Arabidopsis thaliana: one gene and its partners. The protein of the gene in region 1 purifies or fractionates together with the protein of each later gene. This does not show direct contact. Each region holds a gene or a part of one and is shown in the gene's direction. Other genes may lie near its edges.

Region 1 (6,377 bases):
GCCAAAACAAGAAGATATTGCTCAAGAAAGTCACTAGGTTCTTTAGAGAAATCAAATAAAATCTCAATTCATAATCAATGTAGATTTCTCATAATTAAATTTGTATTACAAACTTACAATTATCAAAAACAAAATCTGTAATTACACAAAAAAAAAAAAGGAAAATAGAAACAAAAAAAAATCCGCAGAATATCTCCAAAAATCAATTCTACTAACACAAAAACAATAATACTAATAAATCTATTTTTCTATTTTCAAGGAAAAGGAAACAAACCTTTATAGCTCCTCTCTATCGTCTCGTCTCTATAAATAAACGAGAAGCTCACAAATTCCACAAAAATCCACTCTAACTATGAAACAATTAGGGTTTTGAAATTTACCTAAATCTCTCCGTAATCATCGATCAAAACGATGCTCGAGTGTCAATCAATGATGGAGAAATTATCACCGTTCGTAGACGTCGCCTCTCTGGAAATCGAGTCTCTGCGAAGAATCAAACGCCCGAAACGCTTCTCTGAAGAAGAATCAGAAGAAACCGAGAATACGACGAATTCATCAAACGCGGTATTCGGATTCCCTAACTTACCAGAAGAACCGAATCGCGATATGGATCAAAGCGTTTTGTGCAGAATCTGCGTTCGATTACCAGATGGGAGAAGAATACAGAGAAGTTTCTTAAAGAGTGAATCTGTTCAGCTTCTTTGGTCGTTTTGTTATTCGCAGATTGGTGATGAATCTTCTGAGAGAAAGCGGCGTTTTAAATTGATTCAAGGGTTTCCTGGGGATTATAAGAATCTTTATTTTGGATCTAATACTACTTTTGAACAATCTGGGCTTGCTAATTCCTTGGTTTCTGTTACTTGGCTCTGAAGAATCTTCTTTCGATCTGTAATTAGAAAAATAATTTCTTTCTTCTACCAAGTTTATGTTTACTCAATTTCTCGAATTTGTACTTGGAAATTGCAAATTTCATTTGGTTTTCTTGAATCGTTGTTAGATATTTCCGATCAAATCGTTTTTAGATAACACTGTTTCAAAGTCAATGTCGTCATCATCATACAAGAAGAACGTATAGTTTTTGGTTTATCTTTTTGTTGCTTCTTAAGTCACTCTTTCTCGCATAGTTTTTGAGGTGACGAAGTTACGTATACGGTGACGTAGCAAACCAAGCCCATAAGCCCAAATTCTAAACAAGCCTAAGACAAGTGAGCAAGGAGTGGGTAAACCAAACCATACCAAAATGAAACCGACAAACTCGTCGATATGTGCCAGGACCGGGCTTAGAGGGTGTGCTGAGGGTACATTTGTACATTGTCCATTACTTTTTAGTCAGATTTCTTAAAGCAATTAGGGTCCTATTTCTAAACAAGCCTAAGACAGCATCAAGTGAGCAAGGAAGTACTTCATGTTCATGCACAATTTCTAGGAATGGGAAAGACCGTACCAAAATGGAAACCGAGAAACTCGTCGAGACCGGCTTTGATTAGATAGTCTATCGAAGTAAAATATCGAACTTCGATGGACTATATTGAAGTAGATTTGTGCTCTACTGCCCTCGAAAAAAACATTAAAGTAGATTACTACTACGTCATAATAACAAACAGTCTTTAACAACAACATCATCATCACTCGATACATCTCTGCCTCTGTACAGTTTTGCTGACATATTCACAACACCGTTGCCTCAGTTTCAGCCAAGTACACTACTTCTTACTAATCCAGGGGGCCTAATAGCAGGAAACCAAGCCTACAAAGCACAAATCCCAAACACAAATTTTTGAGTATAATATAAGGACTGAGCTAATAAGTTAAAACATTTCTGATTTTTCTGATAGAAAGGAAATTTTACTATTTGGCCCTCTTTGAACACATCCTTCCCTCTCCTCCTCCTCCTTCCCCCAAAAAACCTGGAGAACCATGCAGTTGCAATTTCCTCTTTAACCCATTTCAAAGATTCGTTTTTTTTTTTTTGTAAATCTCTTTCTCCTTTGGCGAATTCGTATTCCTTCTTTTCCAATGTAAGTTCTTCTTCCTTGATAATCGAATTCTTCTTTTGATCTTAAACCAATCACTACTCCGTCGTTGTAATCGTAATTCTCGATTCACCGTTGTTCGGTTATAAGATCATTCATCAGAATCGGATTCCATTATTTCGGTGACCTGGATTTTGATTTTGATTTTGATTCTTGCTGCTATGATCACGATCTTGATATGTAAACTCTCTTCTTCTTTTTTCTGATTCGATGAAATCAGGAGTTCTAGAGACAGAGGATCACCTTCTTCTTCTTCGTCATCTTCTTCGTTACCAGGAATAGAAAAGTATAATGAAAAGGTGAAGAATCAGATACAAGCTCTTGTTCGTGTTATTAAAGTTGCTCGTACCTATAGAGACGACAATGTCCCTTCCCTTATTGAACAGGTTACTACTACTACTAATACTCATAGGTTTTTTCTACCAACCAAATGACCAATGATTCATTATCAAAGATCAAACCTTTTGTTGAATTTGACTTTTTCAGGGTCTTTATCTTGGATCTGTTGCAGCAGCTAGTAATAAGAATGTTTTGAAATCTTACAATGTTACACATATTTTGACTGTTGCTAGTTCGTTGAGACCAGCTCATCCTGATGACTTTGTTTACAAGGTTGTTCGAGGTATAAACTTATTAAAGGTTTCACTTTGTTATCTAGTTGAAGAGAGAATATGTTTTTGATTTTGGGATGGAATTGCTTGTTTGATTGTTTTTCTATGTGATAGTCGTGGATAAGGAAGATACAAATCTAGAAATGTACTTCGATGAGTGTGTTGATTTCATTGATGAAGCCAAGAGACAAGGCGGTAGTGTTCTTGTTCATTGCTTTGTTGGCAAATCACGGAGGTCAGTTTTGTTTGCTTCCTTCAATATCTAGCGGTTTTCGCCTTGTTTGCTGGATAGTATTCAAAACTAAGTACATATTTAGCCTGGATGGTTTGTCCCTTTTACTTGCAGTGTCACTATAGTTGTTGCTTACCTCATGAAGAAACACGGTATGACTTTAGCTCAAGCATTGCAACATGTTAAAAGCAAAAGACCCGTGGCAAGTCCTAATGCTGGTTTCATCAGACAATTACAAGACCTCGAGAAGTCTATGCAAGGTATGCCTTACTATAATATCTTGAGGTCTAGACTATTAGGTTGAGATCTCTGTGGTGAATCTAAGTTGGAGATACTTTGTCTGTCTGATTCAGTAGTGAGTGACCAGTTTTTTTCCTTTTGAGGATGAAAAGCAAGTGGTTGTGGAGGAGAAGACAGTTCCATGTAAATATCTCTTACATGCATCTTCCTTCTTCTCTATAAAACAGGGAAGCAAGTTACGATTGCACAATGTCAGGCGTGAAGATCATTGATCGTACCATTGGGAGAAACTTGTAAATCTCACACGAAGCATCAATCAAAATGTTTTGTTGTTTCTTCTCCTTAACAACTCGAATAATAACATGGAAACGAATTTGGAATATGTTCATGTTCTCTATTCGTTTTGTATAGTTTCATCATCATGGATATAAAAGTGAACATAAATAAAAATTTGTAAATTTTTTGTACCGCAATGAAATGTCTTTTTTGTGTGTAAAAGTTCATGGGCTGTCATTGTTTAATTTGAGCCCGTATAGTTTAAACAGTTCATGGACCTTGTGAAACATTGGGTTTTATAGTCAATAAAAAACTGTGGGGTGATTTAGGACAGACTTATAAGGTTAGGGGTCATATTAGAATTCTCTTAAAGTTGCTTCCAATTGTGAGGAGGCACTAAAACCCTAGACTCCATATCAATCAATCGAAAAACCTTTCTCTCTTCTTTCGGAGCCGTCGCTTGTGAAACTTTCCGGCGATTTAACAGAGTCATGATGGAAATACGAACTCCGAAGACTGGCAAAGCCAAGCGTGTTCTCGAAAGCCGAGCTCCTAAGTTGGTAAAGTTCTCTTCTTTTTCTCCTTCGTCCTTCTTAAAACCGAGAAGTGAATCATGTTGAGAGCTGTCTTCAATGTTGTTTTGACATCTATGAGACTCATGGGTTTTCTATTTGTCGATAAATTTATCAAAGAATCGATTGAAAGTTGCAAACTTTGTATCTGAATTGGTTGTTTTTGGAATTTGTAGGTTGAAACTGGGAAGAAGACGTTGATACTTCATGGAACAAAGACGAGTGCTACACTTAGCTCTGTAATGACGGAACTCTACCGTTTGAAGAAGGGAGGTGCCATCAGATATTCAAGGAGGAATGAGAATATTAGGCCTTTCGAGAGTGGAGGTGAAACTTCATTAGAGTTCTTCTCTCAGAAAACAGATTGTAGCATTTTTGTGGTAAGTTCATAAGCTTTGGCAGCTGTTGCATCTTGGTTTTATGGTGTTGCAACTTTGATTCTCCTCTTAACTTAGCTATGAACTGCTAGATAGAACAAAATGTTATTAAGATGATCTATCCTGTGATCTAGATTCATTCTAAGGCATCTCTGCTTCTGTCTTGTTAGTCTATGTGTATTTATTTATGGTGGAAATTGGTATGATTGGCTGATGTTATCACAGGCCTTAAGAAGTCATTTGGAAAGGTGTATTGGCAAATTAACTTTGATGCGAGTTCTAACATTGGTGATTGTTTTTATATTGCAGTATGGTTCTCACACGAAGAAACGACCTGACAATCTTGTACTTGGGAGAATGTATGATCACCAAGTCTATGATCTTATAGAAGTTGGGATTGAGAACTTTAAATCCTTGCGGGCGTTTTCGTATGACAAGAAATTCGCACCTCATGAAGGAACAAAGCCTTTCATTTGCTTTATTGGTGAAGGTTTTGAGAATGTATCAGAGCTTAAGCATCTCAAAGAAGTCCTCACTGATCTTTTTCGTGGCGAGGTGAAGTGTTTGATTCTTATGACCTACTTTTGCAGCTAATTCCATAACCAGTTTCAATTTTATTCTGATTCTATATGGATTTGGCTTATAACAGAATTTGTATATGTCTGCAGGTTGTGGATAATCTAAATCTTACTGGTTTAGACCGCGCTTACGTATGTTCAGCTATATCCCCAACAAAGGTTTTCCTTACTCATTGCGCATTGAAGCTTAAAAAGTCAGGATCCATTGTTCCGAGAATGGAGCTTGTTGAAGTCGGTCCATCCATGGACTTGGTTATCAGGCGTAATCGTCTTCCTAACGATAGCTTAATGAAAGAAGCAATGAGAACATCCAAGGATAAGCCTAAGAAGAAGGTACTAAACAACATAAAAGTCTAATATTTCTCTTAAAATCGAAAGAGACAGATGACTAATCAATCAATCTCTTCTTCTACAGGAGAAAAACGTTGATCAAGATGCAGTACTAGGGAAGACTGGGAAGATTTATATGCCTGATCAGAAGGTAAGAAAGAAAGCGATAAACGCCAATATCCGAATCTGGAGATTATTATTTTTATTATCATCCCAAACTGATATGTTTTCGATCTTTGTGCAGCTGAAAGAAATGAAACTGTTCGATAAATCTAAGGGATCGAAGAGAGAGCGGAAAGACGCTAAGCTTAAGCATAAGGAAGAGACTGTTGCCAAAAAGATGAAGGTGTCTTCTGAGTGACTCAACAGACCACTCTTGGCTCTGCATCAACAGCTTTCAATATGTGGAAGATGAAATGATTTTGTAGTGTAATGAGCTTGACTTTTATTTTTCCATTAGAATCTATAACTGAATGTTTTCTATACGCTAATATTTTATTAAGGTGATTTTGTTTTGTTAAAACTCTGCAGCAACAGAAACTGGATATGATAAAAACACATTTTTGTCTATCTCTGTTTCCTACTGCAGTACATGCGTAAGACAGCAACTTTTTTCCCGTGTTGAATGAGACCACAATTTTTGCCTGTATCACTGTCTTACCAACAACTTTTTTACCTCTTTTAACTACCATCTCTTAGTGATATCTTACTTATGAAAATGAAGCTGACCATGATGATTATTTCGTGTATTTTTTTACCTACCAACTTTTAAATGATAATGACTGATACATGTTGAGTTTACAAACCTAATTATTAAGCTTTTATACAGTTAGCTGTCTTAATCTTTCAACACTAGGCTTATACCTTATCTATAATTGAAACCTACCCCTATGGACTCTTCTTCATCATTATTCTTTATGGTTTTTATTTACTATATGTTCCAAACCAAACCATAGGAAACTAATGATTAAAATAGTATATCTTGCATCTATCACCGAATGTTAATTTGTATGCATGACTAGAATCAATTAAGGAAATGAGAAGTTCGTCTTGTGGATTTCGAGGAACTTCAATGCATAGATTATCCTATAGTTATCATCAATGGATTTAATGTTGGAAAAATGAAAA
Region 2 (6,377 bases), on another chromosome or scaffold:
CTAATCCAATACTAACGTATCTTTCTTGTTTCAGAGACACTTTTACCCGCATTTGGTGGAGATCCGACACGCAGGTTGTTTGATCACCAACCCCTCGTATTAGGAGATGATGACTTGGAAAGAGTTTCCTACATACCAAAACAGAAGGTGCGACATTTTTAAAGTACTTGCTTCAAGCATTCAATGTATAATCATTTCTTGTTCATGTCATTGTATTCTTATTGTTACAGGGGGCAAACTATCGCGACATGCCTGGTGTTTTAGTTCACAACAACAAAGCGGAAATTAATCCTAGGTTTCGAGCAAAGTTGAAATCTGGAAAAAATGTGGTATAAAATAAACCACTCGCAACCTTATCATTTTTCTGCTCTAGTTTCTTTTTGCACCTTCTATATGACATGTCTTTTGGTTTTCACAGGTCCCTGCTTATGCAATTTCATTCATAAAAGGAAAATCAAAAAAGTGAGTTTCTCCAACTAATATGCTTCTTGTGGATCCTCTTTCCATAACGTAAGAATGTTAAATTCATTAAAAGTAACACATCTGTTATCTGAATTTCAGGCCGTTTGGTAGACTTTGGGGTGATGAAATCGTTAACACTGTTGTGACAAGGGCTGAACCTCACAACCAGGTAAGCCCTTTTGCTTTCATTTCCCATGTGTCTGGGTACGTTCCACTTAGAATTCTCTAGTGGCTGGTTTATTAAAACTGGTTGATGCAGTGTGTAATCCATCCAATGCAAAACCGTGTGTTGTCTGTTCGTGAGAATGCGAGATTACAGGGGTTCCCTGATTGTTACAAGCTCTGTGGAACAATTAAGGAAAAGTAAGTCCTTGGTTCTTGCTGCTTTTCTATCTATGTATATGATTGTTTTTAAACTGGAGATCCTAATGTATGTAAAAACTGGGTTTGAATCTAAATTTTGTAGGTACATCCAGGTTGGGAATGCTGTGGCAGTTCCTGTAGGGGTTGCATTAGGATATGCCTTTGGTATGGCGAGTCAAGGACTGACGGATGATGAACCAGTAATCAAGCTGCCATTCAAGTATCCCGAATGCATGCAGGCAAAGGATCAAATCTGATTGACAGTCTCCATCAAGTCGTCATGATGAAACTATCTTTAGGAATCATACTTCATTTTCTAGACTTTCTTTTAATTTTTTGGGTTAGCAAGAGCTATATGCTCAAACAATGGCGGCTTAAACTGTCTAGCTCTTTCTTGTTGGTTTATCTTTGACTTTATAATCATTTGGAACCATTTTATTTCTTATGATTTTTAATCTCAAGATTTCAAATTCTATTGCGTAGACTTCAATCCTACGTGATGCCATCCAACAAGAATTAAGACCAAGCAAAAGACAGACAAAACCTGTTATTGAGCATCCGAGGTGCTAGGTACGTCCGTGATCTCTCGACGAACATTGGTTCGATTTTGCGTAATTCAGTTGCCACCGACCGACCGAAACTCTGGTCAATGATCACCACTTACCAGCTTTTATTAGTGTTATTCATTCATTCGCAAAAGCTAAGTAAATTCGAAGGCAGTTAGGCCCACAAGCCCATATAATGGTGAAAGATTTGGTTCACCCAAATAATGTCCCCACTCCTTCGGTTGGGCTTTTACGTTATAATATTCGGCCCAAATTTGATATCTCATAACAGAGCAAATTTTTCACATAGAAGAAGCAGAGAAACCAATTGATCTACTTTTTTTTTTTTTTTGTTTCTTCCTCTTCATCAGGCTTGTTCTTCGATTCCCTCACTTAAAGAAGGGTTTCGAATTTGCTCGAAAGATTGAAAGGAAAAAAAGAAAGAGGTGAACCATTCTCAACATAAATTTGTTGTTTAGGAGATGTAAGAATGATAATTTCTTGGATCTAATCGCGTTCAGAAAGTGAGAAAGTTTTAGGATTCATAAATATCTTTGTGTTCTTCTCCACCCTAATAAACACATTGATACAGAGATGGAGGATGAACATGTTATGATTGATCTTGATGACGTTTCAAGGCACATTGACATTCCAGCAGATGCTCCTTATACTTTATCAGTTAGTTCAATCCAATTCTTTCATTTCACTTTTTGCATTCTCTTGTTTTATAAGTTTGGTTTTGTTTGGTTCTCATAGGGTTTGGATACTTTGAATCCGGTGTTGACCATAGATGGCAAAATGAAGCTGGTAATTCTCTTACTTGCAACTAGTACAATTTTCCAAGTTCAGTTACTCTTTTTGCTTAAACCATTCTTAATCGTGTTAGATTTGATGATCTCTCAGGTAGGAGAATATATAGCAACGATTGGTACATGCCTTGCTTTCTCTGACAAAGGTTAGTTTCACTTTTCCTCTTTATTATCAAACATGGAAACACATGTTATTGTTTCAAGTAATTATTCTGTCCCTTCAAGATGCTGATTTGGGGTTGCGGTTTCTTCATTTGTCTGTTTGCACAAGGTGATAACCAGACGCCACAGAAGAAGACAGTTGAACCTGTTGCCAAACTCCACAAGATTCTCAAGTTTAGGTTAGCACCATTAGACAACGAAGATGGAGTAACAAAAACAACCAATTTGTAAAAGTTTTTCTCTTGTTCAAGTCATTGGAAACCTGACTTTTCTTCAAAGATCATATTAAAAAAAAGAACTATAACAATAACCGACAGATTATATATGTAGCTAAGGCACATGCAGCATCTTCCTTTGTTGGCCTCTTGAAAGTAGCAATCAAACTAAGACCAAACCAAAAGGTAACTAAACGATTCACAACTTCAACGTACGTTTTCATGATTTGTCCTTCTGATGATGTCAATAAAATAAAAACTGAATTGAATCAACCAGTGATGGAGAAATTATGCATCCCATGTAATTAAAAGAAACAAAATCACACAAGATATTATAAAATAAAACTAGGTATATTCAAAGGCAGTAAGGCCTTACATAAGCCCATAAATATTGGGCTTTTTTAGCCCAATAGTATTATGAGTCTGGCCCGGAGCGTAATTAGGTCTGGTGGCAAAGTTGTTAATAACACAAAAGAGATTTTAGTTAATAAACCCTAGGCTTCTCAAATCGGCCATTGCTACCAACTTCGACTTGGAATTCTTTCAGCCGCCGTCCCAATTGCTTTGCCGCCACCGGTAAATTTGTTCCCCCTTTTCCGTTCTTCTTATCTTGTTCATTCTGTTGGTGTCCCTATAGCCTCACTTTCTTATAGGGTTGAGTTCAGTCTCTGTTTATAAACTTTTTTCGCAAAAAAATTCAATCTGACAATCTGTTTTGTGTTGTAGAAGCAAAGAGTAGAGAGATAATGGCTGAGGAAGAAGCTAAGGGTTTGGATTACATACCGGAGATAGTACTGAAGAAGAGGAAGAACAGAGATGAGCTTGCCTTTATCAGGAAGAAGCAACTTGAGTTGGGTAATTCCGGCAAGAAGAAGAAGAAAGTCTCTGATATCAAACGTCCTGAAGATTTTGTTCATGAGTTCAGGGCTAAGGTACACTTCTTTTTTTCCAGATTCTCTGAAAAACTTTTGCTTTGTCTTTTTCCATTCGTTTTACTGCCTCAAGTTCTGATTTTTGCTTCTTGACTTTTGTCTACACCTTAGAAGAACTTGTTTTTGCTTATTCTTTGAGTTAAATTAAAGCTATACATCAACCTTTATGATTAGGTTTTGTCACTTATCTCTTAGACTGTAACTTTTCTACAGATAATTTTGTGTTTCTCCTTTGAGATTTCTCCCTAGTTTTGCAAGGTTGTGCTTAGGACTTGTTGTTTCTTCTGTCAATCCTGCATTGTTCTCTGTAATTTAACTGTTCCCTTTTTGCTAATTTTATCCCTACTTAAGGAAGTAGATATGATCCGGATGAAGCAAAGAGTAAAGAGGCCAAAGTCATCTCCTCCACCAGTTAAATCTGACCTGGTTTTCATCATACGCATTCAAGGGTATTTGATATTCTCCAATTAGCTTTGTTTTCCCCCTGGAGTTTTAATCTTTATCTCTGCCTGTTTCTTATCCTTGCCTTTTCTTTCTGGTGACCAGCAAGAATGATATGCACCCAAAGACCAAGAGGATTCTTAACAATTTGCAACTAAAGAGCGTCTTTACTGGTGTATTTGCTAAAGCAACTGACAGTTTGTTCCAAAAGCTTCTCAAAGTGCAGCCTTATGTCACTTATGGGTACGTAGAGACAATCAATCCTCTTTCAATATTTCCTTGTTACTCGATTTCCATGCTGTTTCTCTATTCTCGTATGAGCTAACCGATGTTTACGATTCTTGAAGATACCCGAATGATAAGAGTGTTAAGGACCTTATATACAAAAAGGGATGCACAATCATTGAGGGAAATCCTGTTCCTCTTACCGACAACAATATAATCGAACAGGTAAAATTTCCTACTCTTAAAAGTATAGGAGCTTATTCCAGATAATAACCATGCTGTTCTTAATCGTTTCCACTTTTGTTACCTTAGGCTCTAGGAGAACACAAAATCTTGGGCATAGAAGACCTTGTGAATGAGATAGCAAGAGTCGGAGATCATTTCAGAGAAGTTATGAGATTCTTGGGACCCTTGAAACTCAACAAGCCTGTGGCTGATGTTTTGCACCGGAAGAAACAAGTTTTCAGCGAAGGAGGAGATACCGGAAACCGCGAAGATAAGATCAATGATCTCATCAGCAAAATGAATTAGAAGCAGCAATCGTTGTAATCGCTAGCTACTTACTATATTTTCCTTAAAAGATCTGTACGAGGCTAAAAACCAACCATTTTGATGAAACACTTGCAATTTTGGTTAAAGGGCATTCCAAATTTTATAAGCATCGTCGACTTCAGATATTATATTATACACATATATTTATGTGATGTAAACAGAGTAATATAGAAGCGAGTGTTTTTCATCTTCTGAAGCTCCTCCTCTCTTTGGGTGCTTCATCTTCCTCTGGCAACTTGACAATTGTGTATGTACCTGCTCCGATTAACGCTCCAAGAATGGGGGCAGTGAGGTAAACCCAAATAGCTCTGTAATTGTTTGCTGCAATGGCTGGACCCAGTGTTCTTACAGGGTTCATCGAAGCAGAAGTTGCAGGTCTGTTGGACACAACATCATGATCAGTAACATGTATTATTATGTACAAGAACTGAATTCAAGAAATGATGGTTTATTTACCCAGCTATAAGTATGTTAAGCATGACCGTTGCTCCTACGGCAATTCCCGCCAACTCTCCCACCTGTAATCTTGTGATTAGTTTTCATTGACGTCCAAAATTTCAAGACTCTTCAAAAACGTTTTTTATAAGTAATTTACAGCTCTCGTGTCGGTGGCTACGGCTGTGACAACGAACATGAGGTTGAAGCTGATAATGAATTCCAAGGCGAAAGCTTGGCTGAGACCCACCGTCGGCACCGTCACGCCACCGCTCATCGTTGGTTCAAACACTGCTTTCAGTGCAAACGCCGCACTCACGGAGGCCATCACCTGAGCTCCGATATACACCGGCACCTAACATAAATTTAGACACCAACATTATTATTTTTATAACAATTATATAGAACCCCTTTTATATGATCAGATTTTATATATACTTTTATTACCCATGTTAAAATTCAATTCATAATACAACATGCATGTGCATGTCTATAGATTTCATGTGGTTCTCTCAGTAACATCCAAAAATGTGTTAAAACAAATAAGATTAAACTACTGACGTGTTTCCAAGGGAAGTGTTTGAGAGCAGCAAAGGCAATGGTTACAGCCGGATTGAGATGTGCCCCGGAGATGTGACCGGTCGATAATATAACGATCATAACCGCCAAACCAGCCGAGGCGGCGCAACCAATAAGCGTCTCAGCTCCATCTGTCTTCTGGTTCACGATCGCCGTCGCTGTTCCGGCGAATATCAGGATCAATGTCCCAACAAACTCTGCTCCCAACTTTACAAGCACATATATGTACTGGTTCAATGCTCAGTGAATTGGAAACATGATTTATATGGAGTGTACTTGTAATGAGAATGTGTACATATGTACCTTGCGGTAGAGGGAAACGTTAGGGGGAGGGAGAGAGCAAGTGACCGGAGGGAGTCTTCCATCTTCAAGAGCCCATTCATTGTCAACACTGAAACATTTGCAGCTTTTGAGAAGTGACTTTGGTGTGTATCTACCATTGTGTCCATTCCTCTTCCCTTCGAATCCTCCAAAGAGCGGCGCTCCTGGAGTCCCCGGGGTTGTCGCCGGCGTTGAGGGCGTGGATGGAATTTCCTCATGATCCATGTCGAGGGTAGAGATAGATGAGATCTAATTAATTTGAGGATATATGTTTTTGCTATGATTGTTTTTATGTGATGTAGAACTAAGGGATGCGTAGGGTACGGTATTTATAGA
Region 3 (6,377 bases), on another chromosome or scaffold:
GATCCGCTCCGCCCGATAAGCTTTCTCCATTCGGAGCCAAAAGGGTAACAAACAAAAGTGATACAAAATAAAAGAGCAACAAACATAAGTGATAGTGATGTCAAACCAAACGAGTGCAAATGGGTCTCTGTGTCGTTTCTTCTTTGCACAAGTGATATCGTCGACCACCTGCAGACACAAGATAAGAAACCTACAGTAAGAGCAAATAAACACAAGAAACCAACATTAAGAACAAACATAAAACATGGACGTAAGATGATACAAGTTCTATGGTAGGTGAAAAACGTTCATACTAAATTGGTGGAATGGTTTGATTATCTTGTTGACTAGTTAGGAGTTTCAAAAAGCTTGAAAGATGATTAGAGAAAGGGTTAAAGGCCATCTAAGCCCATGTTATTAGGTTTTGTACTAGGAGTTCTCATATATATATGTAATGTATGTTATGGATTAATGTAACCAAGGCTACCTCTTTGAGCAATCACCCTCAAACATTTATACGAATCACAATCGAATTTTTTTTTGTTTTTGTAGACAATCTTAAAGCTTCTCTCTCTCTTTAGATTCTTTGCACAATAAAGCTCTTCATGAGCTATTCAATTTCTCTTCTAATAAGCTCAATGAGCATCAATCTATTCTTGTCATATTTAGCAGATAGCAAGTAGGATCTAAGTAGTTGTGGGAAGAGAATTCTTCTTTTACATGGGACAGCTTAGGGGAGTTAAACGAGGTAAAGAAAACACGGACTCTTCGTGAGACAAATAGGTCAAAAGAACCTTAAAAGTTCTCACACTAATGTCTGATTTTGTGGTGAAGAGATGCTGCTATCTACATCCAAGTGATCTTGATTTTGTATCTTGCTACATATGTTGTCTCACCCAAGTCAAGCCATCCGAATTAGCCAGAAACTTTTATTGCTACCTCTGAAGATACAAAATCTAGATCCTTTCAAGACATGAAGTGAATCTTGTGAAGTGCATGTTTCTTGGTCTCATATTGCTGCTAATAATCCTTCATATTTGCTGGGTTCAAAATTGAGACTGATTCGAGAAGATAAGAGCACACATAGATTATGTGCCTTCATTAGATCATGCACTGAAAATCAAGCTCTTCGATCATCTAAGACAAACTTAACAACGTCGTTTTCACACCCGCTGCTAAGTTTGCGGGGAAGTATTAGAGCAAACATAGAAGCCCAAGAAATGATTATTAGAGAAGTCCATCTATGCCCATGTTATTAGGTTTTGTACTAAGAGTTCTCATATATATATATACTAGATAAGGCCCGCCTAAATAGGCGGGTAAAAGATATAAATTTATTCAAATATTTATCGATAATATTTAAAATTTGAATAGTAAATAGTGATCCACACACTTTTTCTAATATTTAATTTAGTAATTTTTGAATTAAATAAAATTTCAATCATACACATTCAATTTTACTATACATTTTAACTATCTCTTTCATCATAATAAACTGCTTTTTAATTTTATACACTCCAACTTATTGATGATATTTGAATTTTAAATTGTAACTCATATTTTTCAGTATTTAATTTAGTATTTCCTTAAACTAAATTTCAATCTTACAAATTCGATTTTACAATACAATTTAAATATCTTTTTTATCATAATACAATACAATTTAGTTCGATTGTATACAATTCAAATACAATCCAATTTTTCAATACAAATAAAATTTAATTCTATACACTTCATCTTATTGTTAGTTTTCCTTTTTAATTAAAAAAATTATAAGTTAAATTTTTTAGATATAGAACTATAAATTAGTATATGTAAATATGTTTTTTTTTTTTTAAAGAAACTTTTTTTTAACATATGTCAACATCTCAATGATAGACCTGACACGTGTCATGATCTCGTGAGTTAGTAACTCCGTACTTTATATAATAAGATATATATATATATATATATATATCTATGATGTTGTCATGTAACCAAGGCTGCCTCTCTGAGCAGTCACCCTCAAACATTTATATGAATCACAATCAAAATCATTTTTGTTCTTCTAGACAATCTTAAAGCTTCTCTCTCTCTCTTTAGATTCTTTGCACAATAAAGCTTTTCATGAGCTATTCAATTTCTCTTCTAATAAGCTCAATGAGTATCAATCTATTCTTGTCTTAGAAATGTCAACAATTACCATCAATTAACCCTAATTTATCTTCTAAAATTCCCTATTCAGGAAACCCTAATTTTGATAAAATCTAACAATAACCCTAATTAATCCCGATATACACAATTAAATTGTTAGATCTATATATTCAGAATTTGATTGGACCATGGCTTGACACAAATCTCCAATTTATGCACGTTTTCTCTCCGATTTGGTTCACCAAACTCGTCCATGTTGACCACCGTCGGTTGAGATGATGAGGACAGTGGATAAGAGACGAATTTCGTTGATATTCTCTTCCGATTTGATGAACATGAACGCGTGAGGCTGATGATCATCAGAGACCGTTCAATCGCCATCGCACCAAAGAAGAGAATAGAGATATCCAGAAATGAGAAAAACCACAGGCAACTGAAAAAAAAATATTGTTTTGTCAAAACACGCGTCCAATGAGAAATGGACACGTCATCGAACCTTAACACCAAAAAAAACTCTAAGCTTAGGTCGTTCGTAAGTTTATATCACATGTTTCATTTAAATTTTGTCTTATTTTGCTAAGGATTCTTGATAAGAAATTTTCAATCCCCAATGGACCTGCTCTAACATGACAATTTGTGTAGAATCGTTATGACGTGGTAATATATGCTAGGATTGAAGGATGACATATGATTGTTTTGGTTGAAATGAAAAGAATCGAGAGAAGATGTGATTGCAATTTGTCTTATGCCATGTAGCTTCCTCTTAAATATTTTTCATTTAATTGACATAAACACATGGAAAAACTTTAAAAACTTCTTGCAGCTAATCAATTTATAATATATATGTTTATTTGAATTAAATTAATTAAAAGAAAATTTCTAGAAAATAAAAATCAAAAATAAGTAAACAAAAGATTAGAAATAATTATACAGTATACAATGATATTGTCGTTCGTTAATCAAATAAAATATGAAAGTATGTTTTTATAACATGAATGATCAAAATAGACAATTGTTTTGTCTTTGTATATCAAACCCGAAACAAACTAATCTATTCTCTGGGCATGGATATTGTAAGGCCCAATTAAATTCGGCCCATCAAACGAAACCAACCCTAATAATCTGAAAGAGAGCTATATATAAATAATCTAGGGTTTAGTGTGCTCCTCCTTCCAAAGCCGCTGCGAAACTCGTCGATTTTCAAAACCGGAGCTCAGAGACTGATCTCGGAAAGTAAATCGCAGCCATGGCGGAAAAAGCTGTCACTATCAGGACCAGAAACTTCATGACCAACAGGCTTCTCGCCAGAAAGCAATTCGTGAGTTCCCATCTCTATGTTCCATTTTGCAATCTCACAGTGTTACGTCTTCGCTGTATCGAATGATAAAAACTATAGTTTAGGTAGAAACAATCTTATAAGAACAGATTCATTGATCATTTTGATGTATTGCTAGAGGAAATTTTGAATTTTGCAACTTTTAGGTTTGATGTTTAGTATTTGGATTCATTTCGATGTTGCATTTGGAGTATTAATCATCAGATTTTGAATCAATTAATGTAGGTTATTGATGTTCTTCATCCTGGAAGAGCCAATGTTTCAAAGGTATGTTCTTTACGTACATTGGCTTGTGTTGATTACAATCCAAGCTTGTGCAGTTGTGTATTGTTTCTTAGTGATGTTGTGTACTGGGTGGGGCTTTACTTGTTTGAAGGCTGAGCTTAAGGAGAAATTGGCGAGGATGTATGAGGTTAAGGACCCAAATGCTATCTTCTGTTTCAAGTTCAGAACTCACTTTGGAGGTGGTAAATCTTCTGGATATGGTTTGATCTATGATACTGTCGAGAACGCTAAGAAGTTTGAGCCTAAGTACAGACTTATCAGGGTAATTTCTCTTTACTTGTTTGATAGTTAAGTAAAACTTTTGGTTCTAGTTTTTAGTCTAGCTTACTCTTGGTGCTTTGATTTTCACTGCTTTGCGATGAAACAATGGTGTTGCAATCTCATACTGAAATGATTGTTGATGTGATTGACAGAATGGACTTGACACCAAGATTGAGAAATCAAGGAAACAGATCAAGGAGAGGAAGAACAGGGCGAAGAAGATCCGTGGTGTTAAGAAGGTAAGAGAGACCAACACTAACCAGAAATCTACATTTGCTATTGTTATGTTTGTGCCTGTTTTGTCTTAACGATATTTGCATTGTTTTGTGAGTGTAGACCAAGGCTGGTGATACCAAGAAGAAGTAAGACGTTTGAAGAGGACAAAAGCAGCAATATGGTTTTTGTTCTGCATCACTCCTTCTTTGAAGCCATGTTTGCTATTAGACATCTTCTAATTATTTCTCGATTTTGTGCTTCTTTTTGTCACACTTGCTCTATTTTGGTTTGGATCTTGTTTTAGAGAAACATGTGGTTAAGATTTTGTTTGAATACATTGATTTTAAACTTCATCCTCTTGCGTTTCGGAGATTGAGACTATTGTTCAACTTTTCAATTTTTGCTACCACATACCACAAGATTAAAAGTTGGATTCTACTTGAAATTCATTAGTTGTCATGAGAATAAAGAAAAAAAGACTACGTTCTGGTTTCACAGGGGAATTCTATTTTTGACTGCAATATTCTAAAGAACTCAACTTTCTGCATTTTCAAATGTATATCAATGAACCATTCAAAGGTTTATCATTTTCCACCAACGCAACATCGATGACGGATACAACAATCTAAATAAGCAAAATAGATGTTTCCTTGTCTCATGTTAAACCGAAAAACCATTGGAAAAATTTAGGGATTTTACAAGAAGGAAGTAAGGAACCCATTTGGGAGACTTAACATGTAAAATACTAGATATTGATTTATAAGAACTAGATATTGATTTACAAATACTAGATAGTGAATATGTTTATTGAAAAGTTATATAAACTTTTTTATAAGAATTAGATATTTCTACCAAAATAATATTAAAAGAATAGAAAAAGTATAAGAGAGGAGAAAAACGATGAGAAGTTCATTATGTCATGTGTTATATATCAATTAGTTTATTTTTTCATGAATTAAAAATTAAATCAAAAACTAAATTACATTAAAATATTATTTTGGAGAGACTTTCACAGTCTCTAATCAATGGAGATGGTCTAAGTTAAGAACTCAAACCTCTCCATTTATAATAATAAGAAAAAACTTTTTTATCACCTATTTAAGCAAAACTGAACATAAACCGATCAAAAAGGTCATCGTTTAACCCTTAGGCTGCAAATGGTTGACCTAAATGAAGAAGTTTAAAGAGTTGAATGAGCATTCATCTTAGTTTTTACCATTTGAGATGAAGGAGTTAAAAAATGATTCAACCCATTCAACTTTAAAAACTGAAAAATTGAACAAATTCTGCAGCAAAAATGTTCAACTCATTCAACTACATTTTTGTAGAGGAACATGTTGAATAATATTCAATTCAATTTTTTTCAACTTAATATTTTTCAACTATTCATCTTAAGACAACCATTTGCAGCTTCAGTCTCCAAACACGTGATAAATTTCCGACAAGTCTAAGTATCATCACTCCCTATAACAATCGAACGGTAAAAAAAATATAAAAAAATCATAGCAGAGAAAATCAAACCTCCTCTTTAAATTAGTTTCTCTCTTCTTCTTTCTTCACTCCCCAAAGATCACATATTTTTCTTCACGAGAAATTCTTTTTTTCCTCATTAGAAAAATGGATTCTTTTCCGATAACAAATATCCGGACGCAGATCCTCCGAACGCAAATCCTCTGGACGCAAATCCTCCGACTCCTCCTGGTTCGCATGAAACTGTGAGTAGTTTCCCGATTCTCTTAGGGTTATGGTTTACGCGATGATTCTCTTTCGCGATCTTAGGGTTAGGCGCTTATGAGCAAAACTGAACATAAACCGATCAAAAAGGTCATCGTTTAACCCTTAGGCTGCAAATAGTTGACCTAAATGAAGAAGTTAAAAGAGTTGAATTAGCATTCATCTTATTTTTTACCATTTGAGATGAAAGAGTTGAAAAATGATTCAACCCATTCAACTTTAAAAACTGAAAAGTTGAACAAATTCTGCAGCAAAAATGTTCAACTCATTCAACTACATTTTTGTAGAGGAACATGTTGAATAATATTCAATTCATTTTTTTCCAACTTAATATTTTCCAACTATTCATCTTAAGACAACCATTTGTAACCTCAATCTCCAAACACGTGATAAATTTCCGACAAGTCTAAGTATCATCACTCCCTATAACAAT

The links.
Region 2: the proteins of AT3G23620 (region 1) and AT1G80750 fractionate together in Arabidopsis thaliana (co-fractionation; one large-scale study listed by BioGRID). This does not show direct contact.
Region 3: the proteins of AT3G23620 (region 1) and AT5G28060 fractionate together in Arabidopsis thaliana (co-fractionation; one large-scale study listed by BioGRID). This does not show direct contact.

What each region holds. Positions count from the first base shown.
Region 1 is NC_003074.8:8,476,264-8,482,640, forward strand, and holds AT3G23620 (Ribosomal RNA processing Brix domain protein), read left to right. Parts: upstream 1-3,761; 5' UTR 3,762-3,883; coding exon 3,884-3,952; intron 3,953-4,140; coding exon 4,141-4,344; intron 4,345-4,650; coding exon 4,651-4,896; intron 4,897-5,009; coding exon 5,010-5,252; intron 5,253-5,334; coding exon 5,335-5,400; intron 5,401-5,493; coding exon 5,494-5,610; 3' UTR 5,611-5,959; downstream 5,960-6,377. Other genes in the region: AT3G23605 (Ubiquitin-like superfamily protein), read left to right, coding at 412-870; DSPTP1 (dual specificity protein phosphatase 1), read left to right, coding at 2,017-2,018, 2,254-2,419, 2,520-2,655, 2,759-2,879, 2,991-3,136, 3,273-3,388.
Region 2 is NC_003070.9:30,345,750-30,352,126, forward strand, and holds AT1G80750 (Ribosomal protein L30/L7 family protein), read left to right. Parts: upstream 1-2,920; 5' UTR 2,921-3,132; intron 3,133-3,282; 5' UTR 3,283-3,302; coding exon 3,303-3,488; intron 3,489-3,839; coding exon 3,840-3,937; intron 3,938-4,034; coding exon 4,035-4,172; intron 4,173-4,276; coding exon 4,277-4,379; intron 4,380-4,466; coding exon 4,467-4,685; 3' UTR 4,686-4,815; downstream 4,816-6,377. Other genes in the region: CMT1 (chromomethylase 1), read left to right, coding at 35-147, 231-329, 419-462, 562-631, 722-825, 929-1,082; AT1G80745 (Transcription factor TFIIIC, tau55-related protein), read left to right, coding at 1,965-2,048, 2,127-2,177, 2,274-2,325, 2,451-2,572; NIP6;1 (NOD26-like intrinsic protein 6;1), read right to left, coding at 4,891-5,083, 5,163-5,224, 5,302-5,496, 5,703-5,927, 6,024-6,266.
Region 3 is NC_003076.8:10,067,774-10,074,150, reverse strand, and holds AT5G28060 (Ribosomal protein S24e family protein), read left to right. Parts: upstream 1-3,251; 5' UTR 3,252-3,358; coding exon 3,359-3,430; intron 3,431-3,673; coding exon 3,674-3,715; intron 3,716-3,824; coding exon 3,825-3,995; intron 3,996-4,146; coding exon 4,147-4,233; intron 4,234-4,330; coding exon 4,331-4,360; 3' UTR 4,361-4,711; downstream 4,712-6,377.